Linked DNA regions of Caenorhabditis elegans. The protein of the gene in region 2 interacts with the protein of the main gene of each other region in a pairwise test. Each region holds a gene or a part of one and is shown on either strand. Other genes may lie near its edges. The genes, in order: R02F11.1, Y65B4A.7, Y69H2.3 and idpp-5.

Region 1 (7,167 bases), on a different chromosome or scaffold from region 2:
ACCAAATTAAAAATTTCTCTTTCAAATAATTTTTTCAGAAATGCGTTAAATGCATTCTATGTGACTAATGTTTTTTTTGAGGTTAAATATTGACTGATTGCTGGTTATCAAAACTTTAAAAATGTCTAACTAGCCGGTTGAAGTTATCGGGCTCAAAAAGTCCAAGACTCTAGTCTGCACACCGGCACTTGTTCTAACAAAAACCTTACAAAAAAATCGTGTAACTTATACAAATGAGCTTTTTCCTCATTTCCGTGGAAGAAAATTTCCGGATTCCCTTTTGTAATTTCTTTATGTGTACACTTTTCCCCGCATTCATCGAATCATAACCAAAATGTTTGCTGCGGCGGGCGGCAGCGTCGGTCAAAGAATGGCATTTCGGCGGCGGCAACGGAATCATCGGATCTCATGCAAAACACTCGGGTGAGGCTCATTCTTTCGCAGAAGTTGGCTGATGATGATGAGGATGATAATGATGATGATCCGTGTTTGCTCTGAACGACTGGGGAGACATGCGAGAGAGAGTCGCCCTTTAGAGAAGCAGGATCACTTGAGCACACATACAAAATTCCCGAGAGTTTATCACTGATAAATGGACGGGCGGGGGGAAAAGAGTGGACTGTCCGAAATTTGTGCGCAGAGAAACATTTATGTGCACTCTCTCTCTCTCTCTCTCTCTCTCTCTCTCAAAAGTTTGTATGCAGAGCTTGGTAGTACAAGCCTGTCGACACAATCGGAATGTTGAAATTTTTCGAAAAATCGAACAGTGATAAGGGATATAGGATAAGAGTGTAGGGAGAGGAGCGTGCTTCTACTATTTTGGGACAAAGTCGGAACTTCACTGCTCTCCAGATGTTCAATGTTTATCCAGGAACACTAAAAATAAAACTTGTTCGAGTGGGTAGAAAAGTTGAAGTTCCTGATAGACATATCGCAAATTACCTGAGGAAAGAAATCCTCCCAATTTCCAGGCAAAAAAAATCGTTTAAAATGTCCGAACTGCCATATTTTCCCTATTATACATACTTGTAGAGAAATAGTTTGAAATCGCAATTAAAAAAATGAAACTGTAGATTATCCTGTTTACCTGCGTGCCTACCAGGGGTGTGCGGCAAATTTACCGAATTTGCCGAATTTGCCGAGCACGGGAAATTTCAAAAAAGTAGATTTGCCAAATTTGCCGAGCTCGGCAAATTTCAAAATTTGTCGCACACGTCAAAAATTTGACAGTACAATTTTGACTAAAACTATTGATTTTTTCGCCAAAAAATTACAAAATTGAGTTATTTAGATGCATAAGCAAACATACTACACGGAACTTATTCGGAATCCAGGTGATTGTTCAGAATTCAGTAGTTTTGGTGCTCCAAAAAGCATCAATGAGTATTAATTTTTTGGAGTTTGTTGAGCACGGCTAATTTGCCGTAGGTAGGCACTTTGATGCCTCGGCGTCCCATATGCAGAACAAGCTCAAAACAGACACAACTCTGGAATATGTACGGCAATTAAAACTGAGCTTTTTCTGCGTATCTAAAGGTCAGACACAGCAGTCCAGCTCCAATTTAAGCCTTGTTCGAGCCGGGGACTGTGACCAATAGTCCAGTCGTGGATTGCTCTACTTCCCACTTAAGGCTGGATGGACCTAGTGGGAGGTAGGACTTGAACTGGTGACCTCTAGATTGCTGGCGGCCACCACTGGTTCATTGTGTCCGGACCTCGATCGCGATGTCTCCACTGAGACATTATGCGTACATCTTAAGTTGTTCGAAGACTCTCGCATGACTTCCATGTTTCTTGTTCCAATAATTCCCAGACGTCACAAAGCATATTCCACGTGTTTTTTTTAAACCGCGTTTGGACGAGTGTTGGGAAAAAAAGAGAGTTGTGCTCTCATAATGGAGGTGTATTATGTGCTCACTTTCTCTCTGAGAAGTTGCCTCTTCAAGGATGATGGCTTCCCGTCTCCGGCCGTGGTCTACACCACCCGCGTGTGTTGCATCCCAAAACCGGATACTCTTACCTGCCGGTCAGTTGGCCCGGCAGCTCTCGCTGTCTCTCTGACGCCACCGCTGCCACTCGAGTGCACCGAGTATAAAGAGCACAGTGCTCCGACACTTTAGAGTCAAATTTTCTTCCGATGGCAAATCGGCTACTCACACATCAGGAACAGATTTTGCTCTGTTCTCTGTTTTTAAGATTTTCTAGACACCGTAGTTTCCCTATTAGACATGCAACCCTTGCTCTATTTTGTTATATCTCTGTTCCCTTCGGTTCTATCAAAAAACTGTCATTAACTGACAAAACACGTGCAAAATATTTATCTACAGTTAGACAGTAAACGCCGCTTAAGTAGATCAATGAGTTTCATGTCCAATATGCTAAATACGGTAGGAATCATTTTTTCAACTATTCTAATTTTTCTTGTAGCATTAAAAAAACTATCAACTAACATCCTAACTACTATTTAAGTATCAAGCATTGCAAAAATTTAAAGAAGCAAAAGGCTCTTACTATTAGAAAGCTATATGTTTTCCATTGACCACAGACTCCGGGCTTTTCATAAAAACCTTAGCAATCCGAATATAATTGGAAAGTTTCTATATATGCTTCAACCGTGATAAGATAAGTTGAACGACATTTTGACAAGCGCGCGCTCACAATCTTTTGGTGTATGTGTGTGTGTGTGTGTGGGGTCACTCAAGTATTTGAACATCAATCGTCCACTTCATTTTACAAACACATAGACTGGACTGAGCCCGATGGGGGAAATGAGAGAGTTTCGTGCCGCGCGCAAAGAGCACGTCGCCGCGCGGAGGCGCCAGAGTCTAAGCTAACACAGAAAGTCGGAGGGAGACGAAAAAGAGAAGACGGTCAGTTAGTGTCCCCTCCCCTCTCTCCTCACTGTTACGTACAAATGACCATTTAGTCTTGCTGCTCCATCGGGCTTCTCCTTGAGAACAAATCTTCAGATTTATTTTTGAGTTACCTTACTCTACCTACTAATTTTACAGTTTTACTTACATATTACTCTTTATTATTTATCTGAATCTTTATTAGTTTCCTGATATAATATTATTATTATTATTAAAATTTCAGGCCAGCGCAGGGTCAGGTGTTCCTACTTGTCTTAAAACCTTCAAATAACTCATTATGAAGCAACTCGCCATCTCCTTCTGCATTATCCTCCCCCTCGCCTGCTTCTGGGTACTGAACGCAGAAGACGCGAAAGAAGGTATGTTGTCACTCACTCTTCAACTCCTAAAATCCGACTTTCAGCTCCAGAAATTCGTGAAGCCAACTCCACAGTATTCCGTCAGAAGAGGCAGTTTGGATGCCCATCCAATTGCTATTCCTCATGCAGTTCCTCGTCCCAGTGCCAGAGATATTCTGTCGCATCTGTCTGTGTCCAAGGATGCTGTTGCCCAGGAAACAATAACCTTGATAGTAAGTTTTTTTAATATGAAGGTTGTGTAGGAAGTTGAAAAATTGCTTTTTTTCATAAATCAGAGATGTTAAAGAAAACGTCGCAATTATTAAAAACTAGGAGCGGGGATAGCTCAGTCGGTAGTATTGATAATTAGCAATCTAGAGGTCACGAGTTCAAGTCCTGGCTTCCCTAGGTTCAGTGTACCCAGATCCGTTCATATCGCTTAAGTAACGCATCGTCCTTTAACCCTTTAGTAAGGAATATGAGATAAAAGTTGAATGCTGACACCTTTAAAATTTAGATCTCCCTTAGTTCAAACCTCAAACCTTATCAAAATCATATCAAGAGATATCAAGAATCCAGTCACCGTTCCAATTTCTCAAGTGTCCCCGCCGTTCCCTTCCGGTTCGAGCAAACACACACACTGATTACCTAATGATTGCTACAACTCCCGGGGAGACGCTGCTTAGTCCCTTTTGCGGTGATGGAGACACCTTCTTATACGGCTCAACATAAATACAAAATATTTGCGAAGTTTCGCGGGGTGTTTGCGTTTGCTCGGTGCGTGCTGCTGTGCTCTGTGTCTCACGAAGTCGGCGCGGTTTGGACAACACGCACGAACCTATCTTTTTCTATCTTTAGCTCGTATCAGAACGAGTTCAAATATGGGTGTGGAAAGTCGTCTAATTCCAACAAAAATTTCAGCCGCCTGCTCCGGAGGACCAGCCGTCGCCGCCTGCCTCGGAGGACTCTGCGGACAAGGATTCTTCTGCTCGAGCAACAACTACTGCTGCAGATGCCAATCCGGAAACAGCACGGGACCATGTGTAAACCAGGTCTGCCCAACCGGATTCATGTGCAACACCAACAACTACTGTTGCCCACTCGGATCCGGAGGAGTCCTCGGATCATGTGTCAACGGAGTCTGCCCAACTGGATACACCTGTGGAGCTGGAAACTTGTGCTATTTGAGCAGTGGAAAGTAAAAAAATGGAATTCAATTTTTCCCTTTTTTCATGCGACAAATTGCCCCCAGTCTTTCTATATTTTTATATATTTTTTTAATATATTGTACTTTCCTTCTCCGTTCTCTGACTCTCTGCTCCTTTTAAATTATTCTAATCTATTTGAAACGAATCGTTCCCACCACCAAGACAACAACATCAACAACAAACGAAATCCCAAAAAAATATTTGAATTGTTTTTAAATTTAATTTGTTTATTTATTATTTTATTTTAATTAATGAAATAAAAAAAGAAACATTTGACACTCTACGACGATATGTGAGAAAAAATATTATAGTTTGCAAATCAAAATTTTCAAAATTTCAAACAAAAAAAAGTATAGTTAATTATGCGAAAAAAAAACATTGAGAGATGCTGATGATTTCTGTCATGAAACCGGAAAAATATGAAATAAAACTTAAAGTAGGGGGGCACTGGGAAGAAGAAAAAAACAAAATCATAATGCAAATGTGCTCTAATAATAACTAATTCAAACAATTTTATGCTCGTCGTGAGGATGATGATCATAATCATAGTCTGTATGAACAAATGCACGTTCAACTTCCGGCAAGCTTTCGATGTTTGATTGGAGGGTCTCACTGATGTCATGGGATTCTTTGAGGATCATATTCTCGTCGAGCACAATGTGCACCTGGAAATATTACAGATTTTAGAGTAGCACAATAATTCAGTTGTAAGCTCAGCCTCTTCAGAAATGTGCGATACGGGCTTATGTTAGGCCTAGGTGTAGGTTTAGGCCTAGGCTTAGGCTTGGGCTTAGGCTCAGGCTTAGGTTCAGGCTTAGGCTTGAAGAATCCAGAGAAAAAATATTCTTACCTCAACTAAAAACTTGCTTCCAAAATGGTACACATAAACCGTATCAATATGTGAAATCCGAGCATCATGATCCAAGCAGACTTTGATGATCCTATTAATGAACTCTGGCTCTGCAGTTTTACCCGACAGCTTTGCCAAATGCTCCCGTCCAGTTTGCACCCAGGTATACAAAATGTACATAGAAACCACAATAGCACCGGCTGGGTCAAAGTAGTACGAGTACTTGGTGCCGAGCCAGGCACAGATCAGGGCGACCGTGTTGGAGATGCAATCGTTGCGATGGTCCATTGCGAGCACGTTGACCGATGGTTCCTTGTATCGTTTACAGAATAGGTAGAGGGACAGCTTGACGAGAACTGTTGACACCATGATGACTACAGAGGTGATGGTGACGTTGAGCTTGGGTTCTTCACCGATTCCTGGAAATTTTTAGGATTGTAACTTAAAATCCATTGCTGAGGGAGGGGAGCATAGATTGAAGGATCAGGGAAGGATCAGAGGTAGAGCTAGTACATCCTGTAGGAAAACTTTGAATTCACTTTTTTAAAAATTTTATAAGTTCATCACTTTGTGGGCGAATATATTGAAGATTTCCTCCAAAACTGAGAACCGCAAGACTAATCAGCTCAGTTTCCAACCAATCAGACAAAATGAGTTCGAAGACGCTGATTGGTTCGAAAATTAGAAGGGCTCCTAGGTTTGGAGCAATTTCAAACAATGTTTTTAATCAGAATTTCAGACTATTTTGAGTCTTTCCATGCAAAATTCAATTCAGCATTTCTTACCATAAAGATGGAATTGAATTCCATCATGAATTCCTCTCACCGACGCAATGATCAATTGAATCGACGCCATTCCCATGATCACACTGATCAAAATCAAGGACAATGGCTCCAACCTGGTCCTTCCTCTCGGATACAGATAAGGATCCCTTTTCTTGATCATTCTTTCTGAAAGTGAAATGACAAGTCCTGAAGTGATATCTACCACAGAATCAACCATCGATGAAATGATCGACATGGATCCTGAGAGAACGGATGCGACGACTTTTGCAATCATCAGAAGGAAGTTCACTGCTAATGTGATGTTGGCCATTCTCGCGGCCGTATTTGATTCGTCGTCTTTTTTCTCGTCAACTGATTTTTCTTCGGTGTCTGTGCGTTCCATTGGTTTCTGAAATATTTAGAGAAAATAGTTGTTTGTTTTAGTAAATTACAGACATTTGGATTAATTGTTTAGAAATTGACAATGTGTCGTTAGTTTAAAAAAAGTTTTTAGCAAAAAAATCGGCAAATTGAGGGTCTCCGGATTTCGGAAATTGCCGGTTTACTGAAATTTGAAAGAACAGCAATTTGCAGATTTGCCAATTTGCCGTTTGCCAAAAAAAAATTTAAAACATTCTGGAGAAGATGCTTTATAAGAAAAAAAAACACTGACAACTGTAAATTTGTTTAATATTTCCTATTTGGATATTTTAGTAAATTCATTTTTTTGGTAGTTCTAGAAAATTTTAAAGGCCCGATTTTGGAGTAGAATTGAAATTTTTAAGTATTTAAATTTCCAAAAAGTGGAAAATGTTCAAAGTTTGGGTTAAAGTTTGAAACTTTCCGATAAAAACATTCAAAAAAAAACAATATTTTGATAATCAATTTATGAAAAGTAAACTCAAAATTTCGGAGTTTTTCGGAAATTTTAAATGTCGGTTTTGATTTTTTGAATTACATACATACATATATATCTCAAGTATGCTCCGGAGTGAAACAATGAATTTTTACGTGTTTTTTTGAATTTTAAAAATATTGTTGAAGTTCTCCAAGTGTCTTCAAACGTTTTTTAATTCACAAAATTCTTGAAAAGCTAACACAAGCTTATAAGGAAACTCACTTTTCTAGGATTCC
Region 2 (6,824 bases):
CGATAACTATCGGAAAAGTCGATTATTATCGGAAAAATCGATAATTATCGGAAAAAATCGATAATTACCCGAAAAGTCGATAATTATCGAAAAAAATCGATAATTATCGGAAAAATCGATAACTATCGGAAAAGTCGATTATTATCGGAAAAATCGATAATTATCGGAAAAAATCGATAATTACCGGAAAAATCGATAATTATCGGGAAAATCGATAATTACCCGAAAAGTCGATAATTATCGAAAAAAAATCGATAATTATCGGAAAAATCGATAACTATCGGAAAAGTCGATTATTATCGGAAAAATCGATAATTATCGGAAAAAATCGATAATTACCGGAAAAATCGATAATTATCGGGAAAATCGATAATTATCGGAAAAAATCGATAATTATCCGAAAAATCGATAATTATCGGAAAAATTGATAATTATCGGAAAAAATTGATAATTATTGGAAAAATTCATGATTTCCGGAAAAAAATCGATAATTACCCGAAAAGTCGATAATTATCGAAAAAAATCGATAATTATCGGAAAAATCGATAACTATCGGAAAAGTCGATTATTATCGGAAAAATCGATAATTATCGGAAAAAATCGATAATTACCGGAAAAATCGATAATTATCGGGAAAATCGATAATTACCCGAAAAGTCGATAATTATCGAAAAAAAATCGATAATTATCGGAAAAATCGATAACTATCGGAAAAGTCGATTATTATCGGAAAAATCGATAATTATCGGAAAAAATCGATAATTACCGGAAAAATCGATAATTATCGGGAAAATCGATAATTATCGGAAAAAATCGATAATTATCCGAAAAATCGATAATTATCGGAAAAAATCGATAATTACCGGAAAATCGATAATTATCGGAAAAAATCGATAATTATCCGAAAAATCGATAATTATCGGAAAAATCAATAATTTCCGAATAAATCGATCATTAACGGAAAAAATCGATAATTTTCGAAAAAATTGTCAATTTCCGAAAAAATCGATATTTTCCGAGAAAAAAATTGATAATTATTTACCGGAAAAAATCGATAATTTCCAAAAAGTTTGCCATTTTTGAATAGATCCCAGAAATTTTTCTCTATTTTTCTAAAAAAAAATATCTCTAACCAAAATGTTTATCCTCCTCATATTTCTGCTGGTAATAGATATTCTGACACCTCTTCATACATGTTCGCTTCTCCTCGGCCTCAAAGAACGTGGCCGGCGAGCACGGGACTCCACACGACAGGTCAAACGAGTAGGGACGGCAACCGTCACGGCCACCTGGAAATAGAGATGGCCTAGGTTTTCGAAAAACTCTTCCACGGGCTTAGAAGAATCGTTATTGTTTGGAAAAATCGATAATTTGCAAAAAATCGATAATTTGCAAAAAATCGATAAATTGCAAAAAAAAAATCGATAAATTGCAAAAGTTGATAATTTCTAGAAAATTCGTTCAAATTTTTGGGGAAAGCTTATTTTCAAAAAAGTCGATAATTTGCAGGGAAAATCGATAAATTTCAAAAAATCGATAAATTGCAAAAATCGATACTTTTGAGAAAAAAGTCGATAATTTTTTTTAGAAAAATCGAAAATTTTCTAGAAAAATCGTTAATTTTCTAGAAAAATCAATAATTTTCTAGAAAAATCGATAATTTTCTAGAAAAATCGATAGTTTGCGGGAAAAATCGATAGCTTGCAAAAATCGATAAATTGCAAAAATCTTCTAGAAAATTCGTTCAAAATTTGGAACAAGTTAATTTTCAGAAAAATCGATAATTTTTTTTAGAAATTATTACAAATTGCGTGATATAAAATTCAATCACATTGTAGATCAAAGGTTCCTAGGCCACCTATGACGTCACCGCTTACCTGTAACAAGTCCCTGATTAACCCAATAGGTCAAGGCCTTCAGTGGATCTCCGCCGTAACAATTTCCGCACACCGAGCAGCATCCAATAATATCCTCCTCGGACAAAAGTGACTTAAAAGTTCCATTCGAGTGAATACAGGCACGGTCGGAGGCGACACCGGCGGCGGCGACCGCGAAGCAACTCCCGCATCCTCCCTGATTTGGAACATTCGAGATTGACGGGCAATTCGGCCATTTCTGACGAGCGTCGAAGTTTTTCGGAACATCGGAGCTGTTAAAGTTCTCAAGTTCACTGCAAAATTGCAATTTTTGGGATGATGCACCATGTTTTGTCGAAATAATTCAGAACCCAATGCACCAGATCTTACGCGCAAAATTTCAAATTTTTAGGTTTTGAACGCAGCCCGGCAAAGGGTACATAAGTGTAAATGCGCTCTACCGAACCGTGTGGAAGTCATCATTCACGCGCCTCTGGCTTCACTCATATTTTGAAATGGAAGATTTTGCCGAACTAGGCCACTTGAGCTCGGCCACGGCCGGGGTAGATTTACGGCGCGTTGCGGCCGGGGTAGATTTACGGCGCGTAGCTCGGCTTTAAGGCCGGAAGCCCGTGGAGTTTACGAAGCATCAGATATTAAGCGCAAAATTCTTTCCTGGTGTTTTACGAACATTTTGCTGTCTTTTTAAAATTGTACCCAAAACTTTTTAAAACTTCTGGAAAAATCCAATTATTCAGAAGTTTTGTTTAAAAAATCGATAATTTTTAAAAGGAAAATATAGATTTTTCTCGAAATTTGGTAATTTCTGCATTTGCGTGTAAAATATGATGCATTGCAGGACTATCGTATGCATCACAGCTTACGCGCTAAACTACATGCGGCGAGAGCGCGGAGCATCGTTGTTTCCCGCTCAAATTTGAGTTAACTCACTCCAAATGCCGCTTCATCGCATCAGACTCGAAAAATTTTCGAATTTGTTCCACGTATTCCTCGACCGCCGTCTGATTTCTCGTATATTTGAATCCGTAAGATCGATTTTTGACACCAAACTTATTGAATTTGGCTTTCCACGTGGTCTCCGGCGAGTCATTGACTTGACGAACGAGTTTTCGCAAATATTCATCATTATCCCGTTTATCATTTGCATCTGTCACATATCGACGGTAGAGGTAGAAGCTACCGTATACCAGACCGAGAACTGAAAATTCAAAAAATTTGGGTCTCGCCGCGAAAAAACGTGGCGAAGTTTGCACATGGTGCATCGACAGCAAAAATCGATAATCTCTTGAGAAAATCGATAAATCATGACAAAAATCAATAAACGTTGATTTTTCAAATAATAAATTTGGATAAAAATCGATAAGTCTTTTAAAAAATCGATAAGATCGAGGGAAAATCGATAAATTTCAACTACCGATTTTTTTAAATTGCGCGTTTGATTATACACGGATTTATGGCTTCCCTCATATGGAAGAGTTTGCCGAACTAGGCCATTTTGGCTCGGCCATATCTGGGGTAAATTTACGGCGCGTTGCGTGTCGCGTCGCGGCTCGATTTTAGTTGTAAAACTAAATGTATTTATCCGTGTGGAGTGCACGACTTTCCCACGTGTTGTCCGGAAGGCGATTGTCAATGGAGCGCGAAAAGTTCAATGAGGAAGACCAGAACCCCGTGATTATAAAATCAATAAAATTTTGAAAAATCAATACGTTTTCCCACGTTTCTCTTCAATTTTCTCCTTTTTAAATTTTTAAATTAATCATTTCAAAAATTCGAAAAATGTTGTTCTCGTCGAACAATAAACGTCTCCAAAAGATTGTTCTTCCATATAATATCCATTGCAAAGGCTGCACAACAACGCTGACTCGTCAAGAAGCTCAAACTGTGAGCACATTTTTGGAAATATATTCAATTGAAAATATCGATTTTTGCAGGGAAAAGTGATCAAAATTCAAGACGAGATGTATCATATTTCATGCCTGAAATGCTCGGTTTGTCAGGTAAAACATTGCAATAATCGATAATTTTAGCGAAAATCGAAAAATTCGATAAATTCTTAGTGAAAATCGATATTTTCTGATTCGCTAAAATTCGATAAATTTTTAATCAATTCATTCGATAAATTCTTACAAAAAGCGATAATTTATTTTTGCGAAATTTAATAATTTTTTTTCAAAATTAATTTTATAACATGTGACACACGTTTCTGGCTTCCCTCATATTTTGAAATGTAAGAATTTGCCGAATTAAGCCATTTTGACTCGGCCACGGCCGGAGTAGATTTACGGCGCGTTGCGTGTCGCGTCGCGGCTCGGTTTTCATTTTAAGTTGTCCGTGTGGAGTACACACACACACACTCCCCTGCTTTAAGGCGATTGTCAATGGAGCGCGAAAAATGCAATAAGGAAGGCCAGAAGCCTATGTAATTTGTTTTTGCAAAAAGCATTCCTCATTGAATTTTTCGCGCTCCATTGACAATCGCCCGCCGGACAACGCGCGGGAAAGTCGTGCACTCCACACGGACACGGGGTTCTGGCCTTCCTAATTAAATTTTTGCGCTCCACTGACAATTGCCTGCCGGACAGCGCGTGGAAAAGTGTTGTGTACGCCACACGGACAAATACAGCAGTTTTACAATTGAAAACGAGCCGCGACGCGACACGCAACGCGCCGTAAATCTACACAAAATCTCTCCGACCCAAAATGGCCTAGTTCGGCAAACTCTGCCATTTCGATTTATGAGGGAAGCCAGAATTCCATGCACGGACAAATACATTTAGTTTTACTACAAAAACCGAGCCGCGACGCGACACGCAACGCACCGTAAATCTACCCCAGATATGGCCGAGCCAAAATGGCCTAGTTTGGCAAACTCTTCCATTTCAATTTATGAGGAAGACAGAAATCCGTGAAAATCAATAATGTTTTTTTTTTTTTGCGAAATAAATATGTCGATTATTGATTTTTCCTTATTTCATTAAATTCCGTCAAAAAATCAATAAATTTCTCCAAAATTCCAGACAGTCATTGGCATGACTCCGTGTTATCCAATGCCCGCGCCGTACGGTAACGCGCTCCGTTGCGCGGACTGTCACCGGGCGGCCAAGTCACCAAAATGCCACGCGTGCAAATTGCCGACTTTTGAGAGATGCGTGTCGGCGTTCAATGTCCACTGGCATATGGCATGTTTCAAGTGTAAAGCGTGTCGCCACCCGATTAAAGGTCAGTGTATGCAAATGTGCTCCACCGAACGAAACCTATTTTTCAGGTCAAGAGTACGTGGTTCACCAGGGATGTGCCTACGATGAGGATTGCTATCACCATACCATTCAGAAAATCGATATGGAAAATGATCCGGCGAAATAAATTTTGCAATTTTCAATATTTCGATTATCGATTTTTTTCTTGGTCTCGGAGTGTCGTAGTTTTTTACTTACCTGCCAACAAGAGTAATATCACGCTAGCAATTGTGGCGGCGACCTGCGCCAGCCGTTTCCGCCGACTTCTCGTCTCAAATGTGGTCCGTGTCTGCTCTTTGTCGGTTGGGTACATTTCTGCAAAAAAGGTGCCATTAAGTGGGCGGAGTTTAACAGTCTAACTTTGCCGAGTGTCGTAGTTACAGTTTAGGTGCCGAACCAGAAAAATTGAAAATTAAACAAGAGACTACACGGGCTAAGATTATCAATAGGGCGCTTTGCAATTTGATCTACAAAAAATGCGGGAATTTTTGCCCCCAGAAAAACGTGACGCCAGCACACTCTTAACCATGCAAAATCAGTTGAAAAGTCTGCACCTCTTCTCCCGCATTTCTCGGAGATCAAACCAAAATGGGACACTTTGACACCACGTGCACGCAGACTACACGGGCGAGGATTATCAATAGGGCGCGTTTGCAAACTTATATTCAAAATTATTGTGGTGATTATGCTTTTGCACATACGGCGTAAAATGAGGAAATCCTCTGAGCAGAAGGACAATATCAATGGCAAAACAAACAAAATTTGACACATTTTTGCTTCTCCCCCCTGTCCCCGCCCGGAACAAAATACGCCTTAGCAGCAGCACAAATGTGCACACGAAAACATGAGCACAAACACCGGAACACTGCGCGGCTGACCAATTGACCAGAGACAAAAAGCTCAACGTTCAAAATTTTTGAGTGAAATTTCGATATTTAACAAGAGGACACCCCATTACGGTATGATCTACAAAATATGCGGGAATTTTTTGCCCAAAAACATGTGACGGCAGCACGTGCGTAACCAAGCGAAATCAGTTGAGAACTCTGCGTCTCTTCTCCCGCATTTTTTGTAGATCAACGTATTCAAGCCAAAATGAGACACTCTGATACCACGTGAGAGGAGAAGGGCATGGGAAACCTAGATGGAAGAGAAGTGACGTCACATGGTGGCCTAGGAAATCAAAGTGCGGTAGGTGGAAGAGAAGTGACGTCATTTGACCTAGTGGTCGAGCATGGAAGAGGGATGGCGTCACCTGGCCTAGGAAATTTGACGGCCAAGCCTAGATTAGAGGGCCTAGAAATGCTCATTCCAAGGCTTGGAAGAGGTGTGACGTCACTGATGACCTAAGAATTTTAGTGGCCAATTCGGGTATGAAATGGCGTCATTAACATCGATGGCCTAGAATATTTCTCGGCCAAACTTACCAGTGGTCTTGGAATTTTTGGGACTAGGAATGGAAGAGGAATGACGCAAACACATGTCCTAGAATATTTCTCGGTCCAGTATGGTGAAGAAATGACGCAACTGATATTGATGGCCTAGAAAATTTGGCGGCCACGCTTTTTAGTTACTGTTTGTCATAAGTTACAATCTCAACAAACTTAAAAAGAATTGCCAAAAATTTTCAAAAAGTGAAAAAGATCGAAAATCTCAGCATAATTACAGTAGGGATTAAGCATGAGACGCAAGAAACGGCAAACTACGG
Region 3 (8,046 bases), on a different chromosome or scaffold from region 2:
CCGATGAAGTTTGTTCGGTCAATTATTATTGTCATCACTACACCCATTTACTTTTGATCTTTCGGTAGTTTCGCCGAGTACCACCCGTAGTTCAGTTCAAGGCCGAGTGGGTTGGGCTTCAAAAAAATGCGAAAATTCAAAAGAAAATAATGACGAATTTGACCTGATATTTGGGTATAAAATGTGCAGATTTTGGTATTTTGTGTTCTAATTTTTACTACGGTTTTTCGAACTTTTTATATATAAAAGGCCGGATTTTTTGTTTTTCTTTTGTTAAAATGTCTGAAATTTTCAATTTCCTGTGTAAAATTGTCCAAAAACCCAAATTTTCAAGTTTTGGTTTTCCTTATAAAAACTGTCTGAAATTTTAAATTTCTCATCTTAAAGTGCCTGAAATTAGAATTTTTTAATTTTCCTGTGTTAAAGTTTCCAAAATTTTAAATTTACTATGTAAAATATCTGAAGTTTTTATCGTAATTTTTTCATATTAAAAAGTCTGGAAATTTAAATTTCCTACGTAATTATCCTACGTAAATTTATTGAAATTTCTTATTTCCTATTGAAAAATGTCAAAATTTTCTAATTTCCTATCTAAAATGTCTGTAAATTTGAACTAACTTTATAAAAAAGCAGGAAATTCCAAATTTCCTTCTAGAAAATTTTTGAAATTCCTGGAAAACATAGGAAATGAAAATTGAAAAAATCTAAATAAAATAAACGAAAAAAAATAAAGTGAATTACAGGTTTCTAGTGTAAAAAACTCAGCTTTTTCTAAATTCCAATTTAAAAATGTCTGAAATTTTAGAATTCTATTTGAAAACTGTCCAAACTGCATATTTTCCTTTTTACTCCGACTGACCAACTCCCTCTAGAAACAATCCATTTTGAATTTCCCGCCAAAAATATTTTCTCCAAAAATTTGAATTTCCGCCAAAAAAATTTTTCTCAGAAAATTTGAATTTTCCGCCAAATTATTTTTCTCCAAAAATTTGAATTTCCGCCAAAAAAAATTTTCTCAGAAAATTTGAATTTTCCGCCAAAAAAAATTTTCACCAAAAATTTTTTTTTTCAGAAAAATTGAATTTCCCACCAAAGTATTATTTCTCAGAAAGTTTGAATTTCCCGCCAAAACATTTTCCAAGGGTCTCACCACAAAAAGAGCCAAACCCCGCCAATACAATATTTTTCAAAATTAACATCAAAAATCCCAAATTTCTTGCAGAAAATGTTTATTTAATCAGCTTTTCATCTTTGATTTCAGCCAGCTTTTTCACATGAAATCATATAAACAAATGGTGACACAGTGCAAATATTTACGCTTCTAAATATATAAAATCATAGAAAATTTGATGAGAAAATCGAGTTTTTGACCTTCAAAAAGTGCTAAATTTGGCAAAAAATAGTCGATTTCAAACGAAAATTTTGTAGAAAAATTTAAAAATTCCTTCATAAAAATGGTTGAAATTAGAATTTTCCTATTCAAAAATGTCTGAAATTTCCAATTACCAATGTAAAAACGTCTGAAATTTTAATTTTCTAATTGCAAAATGTCAGAAATTTCAGTTTTTCTATTGAACTTTTCATTTCCTATAACCCGAAACATCCAAAAAACAATAAATTCTGCCAAAAACCGCCAAATTTTCAGTTTTTTTGCCGGTTTTTTCTCCAAAAGTAGTCCCAAAACCCCATTTTCTCGAAAATTTTACATTTTTCTCAAATTTTCTATCAGAAAATTCAATTTTCCCGCCAAACCCCCCTACAAATCCCAATCTCCACACATCATTTACAAAAAAAAACGTGTAAAAAATGTGTGGGAGATCAAAAAATAAAAGATTTGGCGGGTTGGGGGATTAACCCTTCAATTTCCGTTTTTTCTAGTCAACTCGCGCGTGTTCATTTAATCCAAAAATCCACTACAACTTTGTGAATTTCGTTAGATTTTCGTTTATTTTTTTGTTGGTTCGAAATATTGATTTTGTCTCGTCATTTAGTCGTATAATTTTAGTACTCAAGTGTAGTTTGTAGTTTGTAGTGAAACTGCCCATGCTGTCCCATTTCGGTTTGATCTACCCCCCAGATCTACAAGAATTGCGGGAATTTAGACGCAGAGTTCTCAAATGATTTTCAAAAACTTGCAGAAATTTCAAATTTCCTATACAAAAATATCTGAAAAACTGATTTTCCTGTAGAAAAACGTCTGAAAAATCGATTTTTATATGTAAAAAATTTCTGAAATTTCGAATTTCCTATATAAAAATCTCTAAACATTTCACATTTCTTATGTAAAAATGTTTGAAAAAGTGATATTCCAGTAGAAAAATGGCAGAAATTTCAAATTTTCTATGTAAAAATGCATGAAATTTCAAACTGTTATGAAAAAATATCCTAAAAATATGATTTTCCAGTATAAAATGTCCTAAATTTCAAATTTTTTGTATAGAAATCTGAAATATTGAATTTCTCATGTGAAAATATCTGAAAAATTGATTTTCTAGCAGAAAATGCCGGAAATTTTGAATTTTTTAGTACAAAAACGTAAAAAATTTGAACTTCCTATATAAAAAATTCTTGAAGTTTCAGATTTCATGTTTAAAAATGTCTAGAAAATTGATTTTCCTGTAAAAAAAACGTTTGAACTTTCAAATTTTCTATGTAAAAATGTCTAAAATTTCCATTTATTCATTTAAAAGTGGCCGAAATCCTGAATTTCACAGTTCAAAATACCGGAAAAATACATTTTTCAGTCGAAACATGTCTCAAATTTTGAATTTTTTTATATAAAAAATTTCTGAAAAAAGTGATTTTCCAGTAGAAAAATGGCAGAAATTCTGAATTTCCTATGTAAAAATTCCTGAAATTTCGAATTTTCAGTGTAAAAATATTTGAAATTTTGAGTTTCCTGTAAAATAATGTCTCAAAATTTGATTTGTCTATATAAAAAATGCCGTAAATTTCCAATTTCCTATGTAAAAATATCTGAAAAGTTGATTTTTCCTATGTAAAATTGTCTGAAATTCATAGATTTTTTCTATAATTTTTTTTTGGAAAAAACAGTTCAAACTACATATTTAAACTTGAAAACATATCAAAAAATATTTACTTTGAACAATAGTTTTTTCCCGAAAATTCCATGTTTTTTTGCAATATTTGCATATTGTTTTCAAGTTTTCTGTAACTTCGAATGTTGTTTTTCTTTAAACTCCCCATTTTTTCCCAGCAATTTCTGCAAAATTTCCAATCTTTTGACCCCAAAAATCATCAAAACACAGACATTTTTTTTTGTTTACTTTCTCCTTTTCTCTCTCAAAACATAATGTTTTCCGCACTTTTGATGTCTGATTTCTCGATTTTCTGGTTTTTTTATTATAATGTTTTTCCTGAAACTTTATGTTTTGGTTCGCATAAAAATGCTATAAAATGGCGTGATTTTATAGTTTTCCAGAGTTTCCGAGTTTCGGAGCGATGCAGTATATTGTGCTGCTCAGCGTTCTGCTCATCGGAGCAAACGCTCAACTTTCAGCGACAAGAGGTAAGTTTTTCCAACCTAAAAGTGTACCTAAACCCCTTTCAGACCAAGAATGCAAAGAAAACGAGAGCTTCCAGACGTGTGGCACGGCTTGCGAGCCGACTTGCGGGCTTCCGACTCCGGTGAGCAGATTTTGTTGTCAAATTCCGGCTTACAACGTGGTTTTTGCAGACTTTTTGCACACTGCAATGCGTCATGGGATGTCAGTGTAACAGTGGATTCTTCCGCAGAACTTCGGATAATCGTTGTGTTGAGCAGAAGGACTGCAATGTTGCGGCGAATGAGACGATTCCAATTCCACCACCAGGTTAGAAGGGGACACAGACTAAAATTTGGGCCGGGCTACGCAGTCTCGGAATCTGAAATTTTGGGTCCGCTAGTACATCAGAGTTTCCAGACAAGGCCCAATCTCTAAGGCCGCACTGGCCCTACAGACAATGGCCCGGAGTTCGAAACGGGTATCTAGACCCAGAGCTTGGGGGTATCAGCCTCCTGACTTTGTGGGCGCCAAGCCCAGAGTTCAAGGGTCCCAGGCCCAGAGTTCGGGGGTACCTGCCCCAAATTTTGGGGATACCGAAAGACTAAATTTTGGGCCGGGCTGCACACGGAGTCCTGGAATCTGATGTTTTGGAGCGCGGGGTCCGCTTGAAAATCAGATCTTCCTGACAAGGCCCATTCTCTAAGGCATCTCAGGCCCTACAGACACTGGCCCGGAGTTCGAAACGGGTATCTAGACCCAGGTACCAGCCCCCAGAGTTCATGGATCTTAGGCCCAGAGTTCAGGGGTGCCAGGCCCAAAGTTCAGAGGTCCCCAGCCCAGAGTTCAGGGATACCAGCTCCACAGTTCAGGGTCCCCAGCCACAGAGTTCATGGGTTCCAGGCCCAGATTTCGTGGGTACCTGGCCCAGAGCTCGGGGACTGCCGGACCCAGAGTTAAAGAATACCAAGCCTTGAGCTCCACGGTAACAAGCCCAGAGCTCCACGGTACCGAGCCCAGATCGTGGGTACCAGTGCCAGACTTCAAGGGTAACAAGCCCAGAGTTAATGGGTCACAGGCCCAGAGTTCATGGGTACCAAGCTCAGAGCTTGGGGTACCGAGCCCAGATCGTGGGTACCAGCGCCAGACTTCAAGGGTGCCAAGCACAAACCTACCAGGCATCCTAAAGCCTCCAAACCAAGACCCCCGACCCCAAACCCCTCTAACCCCCCACCAATTTCCAGCCACCAACCTCACATGCCCAGTCAACGAGGTATCCAACGAGTGCCACAACCCATGCACCGAGAAGAAGTGCCCACAAAAGAATGCTCCACAGGTGAACTGCTTGATGGCCTGCCAAGTCGGATGCTCCTGCATGGACGGATTCGTCAGAAACAACCAAGGAGTGTGTGTCAAGGAGGCCGAGTGCCCAGCGATTGGTAAGTACTCTAAAAATTGGACGAAAAAATGCACCAGAATTGCGCCACCGCACTGCAACTTTCCAGGCTCTCAAACCTGCGGAACCAACGAGGAGCCCAACCAGTGTCACAACGCGTGCTTCGAGAAAAAGTGTCCGGTTAAGCCCCAGCCACTGGTAAACTGTATGGAGAAATGCGACATCGGATGTTCCTGCAAAAAGGGATTCCTCCGGAACCGCCAGGGACAGTGTGTGAACCCTACCGAGTGTCCGGCTACTGGTGGGTACCGTTTTAAAGGAAACTAGTTAGAGCCAGTGATTCTAGGCTCCACACTGACTTGCTCCAAGAATGAGGAGCCCAATGACTGTCACAATTCGTGCTCCGAGGCAAAATGTCCTGTCAATCCACAGCCATTTGTTAGGTGCATGATGAGGTGCGAAAAAGCATGCTCTTGCAAGAAGGGACTCGTTAGGAACCGGCAGGGACAGTGTGTGAAGCTTGCAGAGTGCCCACCGACTGGTTAGTAGGGCTGAAGCCTAGTTCTAGTGGCTTTAGGGGTCTCGAGTGAATTTTCGGGCAAAAAGTCATGTTAAATAGGCTTCTGGCAAAGTTTTGATGAAAATATCTAAGAAAATTGAGCTGAGCTCAGTTTTAGAGAGTTTTAGCAAGTTTGGTGTCTTGAAACGAATTTTTGCGGCATTTTTGACTCCGCTGTTGATTTTTAGAACAATTTTGCGATTATGAGCAGGTTTGCATCAAAATTGATGTAAATCTAGGCCTTTCAACAAAAGTTTTAGTTTTTGGACCAAAATTTCGGTGCAAAAAACGACTTGACCCCTTTTTTCGACAAATCCGGAGCAATTTTCCTATTTTGGGGCAGTTTTGAGCAGAATTTTTTGATTTTCCCCTACAAATGTGGTTTCCAGGCAAGACTGACACAAACCCATGTGCCTTGGTACTCTGCAAGCCCGGTCACCGATGCACCATGTCAACTGGCCAGGCAACTTGTGTGCCAGGTATCATTTTTTCTGTCCGCGGGCGCTGGTTTGGTGCGGTTCTTTGCTAAAATTCTGAGAATTTGGTGTCCTGAAATGGACTTGGATGGAATTTTGACAAATTTGTGGATTTTCGGAACGATTTTCACATTTTGGGACAGTTTTGGACCAATTTTATGGGGATATTGGCTTTTGACATACTTTTTGGCAGTTTTTTGACGAAAACGTTTTTTTGGCACACATTTTGGTTTAACGTGCGAGTTTCAACAAATCTGCCAACTTTCGGCACATTTTTGAATCAATTTTGAAGGTTTGGGGTTGTTTTTGACGCAAAAATCGGGATTTTAGCTTGTTTTCATGCCAAAATCATGATGCAACGACGTAATGACTTGACGCAATCCTGGTGCATACCCTGCGACTCAAAATATACGAATTTTCCGACTCTAACATATAAATTGTTTCCAGGCAGCACTGACGAGAACCCATGCAACTTGGTGGACTGCCGTACCGGTCACCAATGCTCCATGTCAACTGGCAAGCCGACTTGTGTACCAGGTATCGCTTTAGGATTTGGGGAAATCGGGAACTTTCTGTTGAATTCGGCTAGATTTTCAGTACTTTTATTCCTATCCTTGAGTTTTCTAACACCCAAAAAATTAAAGTGAGAACCGCGCCAGAGACCCCACCAACCGGGATCACGTGCGCCAACGTCAGATGCGGATTCAAGGGAGGTTGTGGAATGGTTGAGCCCGTCGGATGCGTGGGTTGCAAGCGTCAGCCACAGTGTTTGGAGGAGGACTGTGAGTTTTTAGGCAGAAAAAAATTCAGTTAAAATCGTCGAAATTTTCAGATTGCCGCGCCCAGAACTGTCCCTACAACGAGGAATGCGTTTTAGTCCAGGTCACGTGTATCCGGGCTCCATGGTAGGGCTTTAGTCCGGAATTTTTTTTTGTTGCAGAAAAAAAGTTTCAATTTCAGTAACCCAATCCCAACATGCCGTCCAAAGGACTTGAGACTCATCAAGCCTCTTATCCAGCCCCGTGAGCGCCGTCAGGCCGGGCCAAGCTGTATGACGGCCCGTTGTGGGACCCCGGCCGGGTGCGCTATGGTCAGGCCAAGTGGATGTATTGGTTCAACTGTGGAGAAGGGTTGTGAGCTCATGCCGATGTGTATTCATGTGAATGGTAGGTGACTGAGAGCCACGATATGTCGGGCGCTGCAACTTAACATGGTCCTGCGGACCTGCGATGTGTCGGCTGCTTTCTCTATCCTTGAAGCATCTGAATATAGATACCTTGGAAGTGTCCGACGCTAGAAAATCCGTAAAATTTCCAGCTTGCGCCTCCACGTCCTGCCTCGTCGGATCCCAATGTGTCCTCCACCAGGTTCAATGCTTCACGCAACCATGGTAGATCAAATTCCCCGCTTCTTTCCACTAAATTATTGTTTCAGCGACCCGATTGCACAATGTGAAGCTCCTATCAAAAAGCCAATCAACAGACGGTGCAGATCAAATGAGAAGTTTGAACCCTGCAAGACTGTCTGCTCAGACACCAAGTGTAATGAAGAGCCGGTAAGTGGGCGGGATTTGAGCAAAATTAGTTTTTGAAAAATTTTTTGAAATCAACGAATCAGAAGCTTTCAAATAAGTATAAACATGACTAGGTTCTGCAAAAAAAATTGTTTTTGGAAATTTTGTTTTCGCAATTTTCCAATTTTTTCAAGGGGCTCAAAATCCAGTCATAATTATACTTTTTCGAAAGCTCTCAGCTTGCCTAACTCAAAAATTTTGGATTTCCAACCTACAACCGAAAATTTCCAGAGATTCTGCCCCCAGGTGTGCACCGGCGGCGGCTGTGTCTGCCAGGAGGGCTTTTTCCGCGACAATTCCGGCAAATGTGTCACCCAAAACGATTGTGACGCCCAGAAGCCAAAGCTTTACTAAAATTTGAAAATTTAAATATTTTCCGGGGGATTTTCTGTAAAAATCGATATTTTTTTCTGTTTCTATTCTTTGGTTGAACATTCCAGTCTAATAAAAAATTTATATTTTCACTATCTTTTTGTTGATTTTTTTGTTGAGAACTTTTGAAATTTCAGGCTGAAAAAGTCTGAAAATTTTCAGATTAT
Region 4 (8,644 bases), on a different chromosome or scaffold from region 2:
TCACAAGCACCATTTTGCTATATGATCTTTATCCGAGCTCTTTTTCTCCGCCAGAGTTGCCAAAATATAGTCTGCGACATTTTTTCCACCTTCTCCCAATTCAACTCAAAAGTATACAGTTGCACGCGATACAATTCTGGATTCCCGTATTGTGCTCCGCTTCGTTTATTTGAACTACCACCAGGCCGAGCAAAAAATTAAATAAGTAACAATGAGTCAAGAATTTTTTGTGGGGGGGGGGGGTTGATAATCAAAGATGAGCAGCAAATGAGTGTAGTCCAATCTTCAAGTGTGTGTAATCAAATAGAACCTTTGATTTTTTGCTCTTTGTGCACATTCGCATACACAAATCTTGCAACAAATATTGCTGCAAATATTGAACATCCCGCTGAAAACAAGCTCATATAATTGAATTAAAGAAAATTCTTTTTAATTTAAAAAAAGAAAAGAAGCAAAAACATATTCATTTAATTCGAATTTAGTTTGTATTGAATTTCTTACAGAAACTTTCTCCTTACACTTCAGAATTCACGAAACGAACTATTATGACTAAGCATTCTGGATATAGTCCGGTCCATCTTGTCACGGAACCCAAACGCAAACATTGAAACTGACCCGAATATAAAACGGTCTGCGCTAGTTACAATTAATATACTTTCCACACATGTTTCGTCTGAACACTGGAGCTTATATAGTATTGTATTCAATTTTCAGCCAATGCTTAAGTACAGAGGTAAGACTTTTTCAGTTATTAGATAGTAGATGTTTGTTTGATCGTTGAACATCAACGAGTTTCTCACATCTAATCAAGAGCCTTTACAATTGTTGATTCTCAAGCCGATATATCTTGTCATGACTGTAGTCGCCAAGACTAGTTGCACGCTTGTTTTTTTTAGAGTGGATGCGTGAAGGTTTTGACTTTTTCTTATCGTGTACTAGGTGTTTGCACAAAGGGATCAAAATTTGAACATTGTACTTCACGTTAAAGTTTGTATTTGACATGGGTTGAAAACTTTGATGATTGAAAACTTTGAAAAAATGTTTAAATTTTACTAACAGTTATGAGTCGTTTGAAAATATAAGCTAATAATTTATATCAAAGTTATCATCCTTCATTGCATATTTTCATCATTTATCTCACGTTATTTTGTTGATTAAAATATGTAACCAAAAACTGTATGTAACCAAAAATTATTAAAATTGGTTACCGATCGGTCTTAAATGTACCTCAACCAACGAAAAAACGTAATATGAACGATCAAAATATGCAATGAATGACGATAATTCAAAAAACTCAACTTCGGACCCGTACGAGACGGAAAAGGTCAAAATTGGAGATACTAGTATAAATTGGACTCTTTTTTTGAAATTTTACACTGCCATAAAAAATGCTTGAAAAATTATAGAAACCGTTACACCTTCTTTAACAATCTCAATTTTATTTCTTTAGATTAAGAAAAATGCTACAACAACTGCTCTGGCAAACCTAGAGGATGCTCATATCCGAGCAAAACGCCAATTTGGAGGTTTTGGATTTGGCGGGGGATTTGGAGGAGGTTTTGGTGGAGGTTTTGGTTTCGGAGGTGGGGGATGCTGTGTGAGCACGATGATTTGCTGTCAGATGCCGATTCCACCACCGATGCCACCACCGATCCCAATTCCGATTCCTGCCCCGGTCCCAGTACCTGCACCTGTTCCGCAACCAGTGCCTGTACCGATGCCTATGCCTATGCCGATGCCGATGCCTATGCCAGTGGTATGTTGTGTTTGAAAACTCAAAAGTTTAAGCGTTAAAATTCAATTTGCAGCCAGTACCAGTTCCCGTGCAGAGCAATTGCTGTAGTTGCTGCATGCCGGTTTGTATGTCGGTTTGTATGAGAGGGTACGTTGAATTGCAACTACTATATTTGCTAAGTGTGGTTTTTCATTTTGTAGAGGTTGTGGATACGGAGGCGGTGGTTACAGTTCTGGTTATTCATCCGGAGGATGCTATGGAGGAGGAGGAGGATCATCTTGTGGTTGTAATAGTTTTGGTTATGGACGGAGAAAGAGAGCTACACTTGTGAAGAATAATGCCGTGGCAATCAGGAGAAAACAAATTGATATGGTTGTTCGAGACTAATAAGAAAAATTTAGGAAATCTTTCAATACGATCACGATTAATAAAATATTAAAATATCTGAAAACTTATTTTACAATGCATACACACATTCTATATCATATTCACGATTAGCTATTTTTGACAAGCTGCAATCTTAAGTGATCTTGGCAAAATCTTGGCAGCACTGTGCCAACTTTCTGTCAGAAATTTCAGCAACTGGTAACCTACAAAATAAACACGTTCCGTTCTTCTCTGTTTCCGATGAAAACCACTGCCCGTCTATGTGCAAGGCATGTGGTCCTGTGGTGTAGTGGTTATCACGTCTGCTTTACACGCAGAAGATCGCCGGTTCGATCCCGGCCAGGACCTACTGTTCTGTTTTCTTTTAATGAACACTTCATAATATACTGCAAATGTTTTATGTCATTTTAATAAATTTATTCTGTAGAGAAATGAGTTATTACCCGAGTCATGCTTGAAAAAATGCGAGTTTTGAGTATTTTTTGAGTTCTGATGACACCCTCCATTTATTTTTTAGACCAAAAGTTGATGACCACCAGAGATAGTTGAAACCTTGAAGCATTGGAATGTCAATTTTTAAGTCACACAATATTAAAATATGCCGATTCAAAAATGATTTGGCCAATTTGAGCAATCATTTAACGTGTCGAATGTTCCACTTATTCGGCCAGTTTTTCATAAATTCAATCTTCCATTGGTCTTTTCACTTGTCCCTGAATATTCCTTCCCCTTAACTATATCAATAGAGCCCGATGAAAAATGTTTCAAAAAAATCAAAAAACCATGAGAATGGCAGCCAAAAAGTGTCAAAATCCGCCTCCCATCTGCGAGACCACTTGAAAAATTGAGCATAATGACCGGGCGATTTCCGGATATCGGTATGCGATCCAGTGTTTGGCAATGAAATGAAATGGTGTTTGATGGGCGCGAGTTCACAAAAAGTGGCCGCGGCCGCCGGGCACAATGCAGGTGTCAATCTCTATAAATATATGGGTACAAATAGCGGGGAACTGACCACCGTGCCGGACATTTTTGTATTCCTTTCATTCCTTATTACTATCCGTTTAGCGATAATCTAAGACTTTAAAATTTTCAGAGTGTAAAAATGCAATATCTTATCGCTGCTTTTGCAGTGTTTCAATTGTCTCTTGGAGATGAGGTATATTTTTTTCAAAAAATAATACCTTCCAGAAAAATTTAATTTTGCAGTTCTCAACATCCGCTCTGACTTCACCATATCTGAAAATGAATGGATCTCTCATCACAAGGGTCCGTTCAAAAAGACAATGTTGTGCAATGTGCCCTTCAGGTAACTGTGGATGCGGTTCGTGCAGCGGATTCGTGAGTTCTCACAATACAACTTTCACCGTCTATTTTGTTATTTTAAAGGTCACTTGTCCCGATCGGTGTCAACCAATGTGCACGCAAGCTTGTGTTATGGCTAAGGTTTTTAGTTATTTTCCTCCAATCGCACATATGTGTTTTCTTTGTTTTAGACCTCAGTTTGTGTGGATCAATGTATGCCAAAATGCGATTCAGCATGTATAAATTTAGTTAGATCGGTATCATTTCTAGTCAAAGTATACTCTAAAAAAGATATTATAGGGACCATCTTGTGACCAGCAGTGTATGCCATTATGTCTCCCAGCTTGTATTAACGCCATCCAAGGACCGACGGAGTGTGCTCCACAGTGCATGCCATCATGCTCATCAAATTGTATTCAGGTGAATATTAGTGTTTTGATAATAGATACCGTATATTCCCTATTAGTTTGGCCCCCCCCCCCACCAATCGACTTTGTCGGCTTATATTTTAGCGGTTTCAGAAGATTTTTGATATTTTCAAAAACCAGAGCATAACGATAGATTCGAAAAAGATTTTCCCGTTTGAATTTTTGAATATGATCGAAGACAAGCGAGATATAAAGGGTCAAAGTCGAGTGAGGAGGGACCATACTAATAGGGAATATACTGTAGTTTTATATTAATTTCTATGCATATCTAATTGGGTAATTGTACTGAAATAAAAAGGTACATTCCTAGAACTAGTTTCACAACATCAAACCCACATATTTTCTAATTGACAGTTTTTGGAAATCTCATTTTGCCCAGTTTTTCTGATGAATTTGTGAATACTTGGGTTTTTAGGTTTTGTGGCATCCCCGTTCCAAATATCGCAATATTATTATTTTTTAATTTTAGCAAGTATTCCCGAGCTGTCCTCAACAATGTCAACCGGTGTGCACTCCACAATGTATCCAGTCAATCCAAGTAGCAATTCAACGTCCAACTTGTGCTTCATCGTGCATGCCTTCCTGCTCCCAATCATGCATCCAGAAATACGAAATTACCGTCGAGCAAGAGACTTGTGTTCCAGCATGTATGCCAGCATGCTCATCGGCTTGCGTTCAAGCAGTCACATGCAGTACCTGTACCAATAATTGCCCATCTATCTGCTCGTATGTCAATTTTTGAAAAGGTTTCTCAACAGTCATTGTTTTCTTGTTCAGGCAAGCGAACTGCATTCCACAGTGTATGCCAAGATGCCTCCCAACCTGCATTCAACAGATTCAAATATCGGTTCCCCTACCAGTAAGCAAAAACCAGTCAATTCTAAAACATGTTTCGATCTTGCGAAATTATTGGCCATCGTAAAGAAAATTGAATTGGCATGACTCACATTTAAAGTGGTTTGGTTGTTTGGGGGTGATGGGAAAATATAGAAAATGATATGATACAGATCGAAATTCAAAAATTGAAAAATGCCAAAAATTGCAGCCCCCGGCCCCAAGATGTGACTCAATGTGTATGCCATCATGCTCCCCATCTTGTGTACAGCAATATTCATTGTGCCCCCAACAGTGTAGACCAATGTGTACAAATGCGTGTGTCACCAATCTTCAGGTGCCAGAAAATTTAAAACAAAGAATTTCTCAGTAGTAGTAGCAATTTAGGTATCCCGACCAGTGTCTCAGTGTCTTCCAGCATGTATGCCATCTTGCACGTCTTCCTGTGTCCAATCAATGTGTCCACAGCAATGCTATCCGAGTTGTGACATGAACTGCATTCAGCAATACGCCGTTCAAATGGCTCCAACGCCATGTGCAGCTCAGTGTATGCCTCTATGCGAGAGTAGCTGCATTGCTAGGGTACAAAAAAGCTAACCCCAAAAAACCAAAAAAAGCTATTCCAGCTGTCATGCGTCCAAACCTGTATGCCTGCTTGTAGTCCAACATGTGTTCAGAATTATGCGGCTGGCCCGATTCAATGTGCACCGGCTTGTATGCCGCTGTGCCAGCCGACTTGTGTACAACAGCGTAAGAATGTGTAGGGTTAGGGTTCAGGAGTTGCATGATATTTGCAGAGCAACGGATGCCTCAACCTCTCCCTCCTCCTCCTACCCAAGGGTGTCAAGCATGCCGAAACAGGGGATGAACTTTCCAAATAACATATTTATTACTTTTCAGAACTCACAATAATTCAAAAATTGTATAATAACACCAATTTTCATTAATATTTCTAACGCGGGTCCTTTTTTGGGTTAGATCTAGAAATCAGAGTTTCAGATGCCGAAGTAGTTGTAGCTTGCGGAGTTCCTTGCCAATGCCAGCCAGGATATGTGCAATGCTCACAAAACCTCTGCTGTTTGAAGTAATGCAATTTCCAATACATTTTCAAGTACCGATCTCCTCAACTTTTTAGGTACAAGAATATGGCTGCAAAGTTTCGCAAGTTGAGTGGCTCGACGACAAACTCTAACAATAATGGCAATAACGGTCACAACAACGGTCCAAATAACAACAACGACGAGGATGATGAAGATAATAATAGTGCTGGCGGCAGTTACACAGAGCCAATGAGAGACTCACCAAAGACCTCAAAGTCAAACTCGACTAGTTCGGAAGAGGTATTATTCTGTCAATTTAATAGGCTACTTTATAATTATTTTTTGAAGAAAAACAGCGGAAAAACATTGTCTGCATTCTCTGACACTCAAATGGACGGCGACTCGTACGCAAAGGCTTAGAGGAGGGGCGGAAATGTTTCCATTTATAATTTATACTGATTGGTTTTTCTTATGTACGTATATCAAAAAGCAATCAATCGTGCTGGTAGTTAGAGACTATTTGAATAATAAGATTAAAACTAAATAAATATTCATTTTTTTAATTTATTAAATTTCATGTGACTTTCAAATTTGTTTATCTGGAATAATAATTTTGAAATTGAAACATGATGATAAACTATTGGGTATTCAAAATATAATTTTGTCATACAAAATGTTTTATTTTAGAAATGAAGTAGCAAATTTTCAATGAGAGCTTTTGAGAATTTGTCGGAAAACTTCAATGGCGTTTCAAATTATTTGGAGAAAACTCTTATCCTATAGGTTTTAACTGCCAAAATATAGATTCCGTGTTTGAATGGTTTTTCGTAGTTTTTGATTAATTGAAGGTGAAGTGGGGAAATCGTTAAAACGATTAATGTGATGCCAAAAAACCAAATATAATGTGTTTCTTTTGAGTCGGAAATAGTGAGTTTCACCGCTTTTTGACCCGAAATAAAACTAATTTCTAATTTATTTTTAAATGTTTTATTATAAAAATTGGTCATTTTAACACCATAAAAATTGTTTTAAACACCTTTCTTACTGGCAGTACTCCACATTTAAAACACTTTTTTTAGTCAATAGAAGCACAAAATTGCTAGTTTTCTTCTAACCGCTGTGAGACTGACAAATTTGGCAACATTTGAGATTTCAGGTAATTTTGCAAATGTAGCTTTTTTCCCAATGTTTTGAGCCCCAAAATAATTTTTTCAGAAGTTTTTCAAAGGTCTCATTACACTGTGGCGCCGTTCTGGGTCTAATATGAAATTAAAAAGTTTGCTACTTTATGAAAAATGGTCTTAATACATTCTTAAAACAAATTTATAATTTTCTGACATGAAGGAATGCGATCTACTTTTGAAGGTAACTTATCGCAAGTAACGTTTTTTTGTAAAGTACTAAAGTCACGATGAGAGACAATTCACCCTTCTCACAACAATACTCTAATCTCAAAACATTGGGCGTATGTACCTGTACACTATTTTACTCGACCCCGGTCATGTTAGTCAACACGAAAAAGGGAAGATGTTGTCGACCTTCACATACACGTAACGTACACAACAGCGATCAGCCACCACGGGGCAGTTTTATTGTTCATTTTTCGAAAATCGGCCCTCCCCGAGTGCGTCTCTGGTGATTGCTGCACTATTTTCGCATGAAGTGGGCACACACACACACATATATACGCGTTGTAAGTTGTCTCGCGGGCCATTTCTCGGTGAAAATACTTCGAGACATATCTCCCTCAAACAATGCAATAAACAACTTTGTATCGATTGATTTTTTATTTATTTATTGTTGTTTATTTTGAACAGTTTTCAATTTTAACAAGAATCATAGGAAAACAGAAGCAATGAAAAAAACGCCATTCATAAAATTCGAGGGGAGAAAAATTGTAACTTAAGGCAACTTTGAAAAATGGTGAATGCGGGCGCAGATACAATATGCATGTGATTTTTTTTTGGTGCGTTGATTATCGGCATGGCAGTGATCTTCGCGAGGGGCGATTGATCTAAGCTCTGAAGAAGCAGTACCAGAGAGCGTGGATGACGGCTGGCACGAAGAAGAAGAAGCACAGGATGATGTTCACAGCGACGTGCATGTTGCAGTCGTTTCCGTGGATGAAGATGGCGAGTGGCTGGAAATCAGCAATTTTTGTTGAGTTTTGCATTGAGTTGTTGAAATTTCAAATAATGCTACGGTTGAAAACTACTTACTGGAAGGAAGATCGCAAGGATCAACTCGATGATTTGTTGCATTTCGATGGCCATGGTGTTCTGAAACATTTGAAAACGTTTTAGTCGGGTTTACAAGCTAGACTGATAAAAGACAAGAGAAGGGACAATATTTCGTGATGGTAAAGAAATAAACTCTGAGAGCTTGTTGAAACAGGCTAGAAAAAGAAAAGGAGATGGTGAAAGAAAACTGCGTTGTTTTATAGTTTTATAGTCCTTTGACACGATATGTGTTAGTCCTTTTTTCTACATTTTTCTTGTTTCAAGAACAAATGCAAGGACGAATGTCAAGCCTACGTAATATCATAATTTACCCCGCCGGGGCACGTGGTGGTGGCGGGTTTTTGGCGTATGACCTCTGGACAGGACAGGGATAAAGAAGATGTATCAGTTACAAAAGAGTGCACCAACCGAAGAGTAGGAGAACAAAATGGAGGTGAGAAGAGGCACAGAGACTGAGATGTGGCCGTTGATGGGCGGGGTTCACTTGGGCGGAGGAAGGACGAGATGGGGGTATGAGAGACGAAAAAGAAGAGACAACAAGTCATACATACACAACAAATCTGTTTTGTTGTCACTGACTGGGAGAAAAAAACGTTATTCGATTAGTTTGATCGGCCGGAAATTATCGACCCGAAGCCTGCGCACTTTTTGGAAACGGGGGAAACGGGAAACCAA

Evidence for each region.
Region 1: the proteins of Y65B4A.7 (region 2) and R02F11.1 interact in a two-hybrid assay, tested with the Caenorhabditis elegans proteins (one large-scale study listed by BioGRID).
Region 3: the proteins of Y65B4A.7 (region 2) and Y69H2.3 interact in a two-hybrid assay, tested with the Caenorhabditis elegans proteins (one large-scale study listed by BioGRID).
Region 4: the proteins of Y65B4A.7 (region 2) and idpp-5 interact in a two-hybrid assay, tested with the Caenorhabditis elegans proteins (one large-scale study listed by BioGRID).

What each region holds. Positions count from the first base shown.
Region 1 is NC_003283.11:4,797,998-4,805,164, forward strand, and holds R02F11.1 (CC domain-containing protein), read left to right. Parts: upstream 1-3,096; 5' UTR 3,097-3,150; coding exon 3,151-3,232; intron 3,233-3,276; coding exon 3,277-3,444; intron 3,445-4,132; coding exon 4,133-4,413; 3' UTR 4,414-4,687; downstream 4,688-7,167. Other genes in the region: R02F11.3 (Cation efflux protein cytoplasmic domain-containing protein), read right to left, coding at 4,923-5,084, 5,270-5,688, 6,055-6,442, 7,154-7,167.
Region 2 is NC_003279.8:644,058-650,881, reverse strand, and holds Y65B4A.7 (LIM zinc-binding domain-containing protein), read left to right. Parts: upstream 1-3,639; 5' UTR 3,640-3,656; coding exon 3,657-3,761; intron 3,762-3,811; coding exon 3,812-3,877; intron 3,878-4,897; coding exon 4,898-5,099; intron 5,100-5,145; coding exon 5,146-5,243; 3' UTR 5,244-5,256; downstream 5,257-6,824. Other genes in the region: Y65B4A.2 (Peptidase C1A papain C-terminal domain-containing protein), read right to left, coding at 1,134-1,289, 1,878-2,170, 2,808-3,075, 5,315-5,431.
Region 3 is NC_003283.11:18,659,513-18,667,558, reverse strand, and holds the start of Y69H2.3 (Follistatin-like domain-containing protein), read left to right. Parts: upstream 1-3,432; 5' UTR 3,433-3,462; coding exon 3,463-3,529; intron 3,530-3,571; coding exon 3,572-3,648; intron 3,649-3,697; coding exon 3,698-3,833; intron 3,834-4,747; coding exon 4,748-4,942; intron 4,943-5,008; coding exon 5,009-5,200; intron 5,201-5,245; coding exon 5,246-5,440; intron 5,441-5,847; coding exon 5,848-5,937; intron 5,938-6,381; coding exon 6,382-6,471; intron 6,472-6,578; coding exon of another isoform or gene 6,579-6,716; intron 6,717-6,766; coding exon of another isoform or gene 6,767-6,839; intron 6,840-6,894; coding exon of another isoform or gene 6,895-7,100; intron 7,101-7,251; coding exon of another isoform or gene 7,252-7,324; intron 7,325-7,368; coding exon of another isoform or gene 7,369-7,489; intron 7,490-7,738; coding exon of another isoform or gene 7,739-7,861; exon of another isoform or gene 7,862-7,972; intron 7,973-8,041; coding exon 8,042-8,046.
Region 4 is NC_003284.9:3,787,390-3,796,033, reverse strand, and holds idpp-5 (Activated in Blocked Unfolded protein response), read left to right. Parts: upstream 1-3,218; 5' UTR 3,219-3,227; coding exon 3,228-3,281; intron 3,282-3,331; coding exon 3,332-3,463; intron 3,464-3,511; coding exon 3,512-3,568; intron 3,569-3,618; coding exon 3,619-3,684; intron 3,685-3,727; coding exon 3,728-3,847; intron 3,848-4,324; coding exon 4,325-4,581; intron 4,582-4,632; coding exon 4,633-4,714; intron 4,715-4,900; coding exon 4,901-5,026; intron 5,027-5,076; coding exon 5,077-5,271; intron 5,272-5,315; coding exon 5,316-5,439; intron 5,440-5,688; coding exon 5,689-5,773; intron 5,774-5,824; coding exon 5,825-6,029; intron 6,030-6,077; coding exon 6,078-6,149; 3' UTR 6,150-6,292; downstream 6,293-8,644. Other genes in the region: F35A5.5 (uncharacterized protein), read left to right, coding at 665-733, 1,451-1,756, 1,809-1,882, 1,936-2,122; pmpl-1 (UPF0057 membrane protein F47B7.1), read right to left, coding at 7,744-7,869, 7,949-8,002.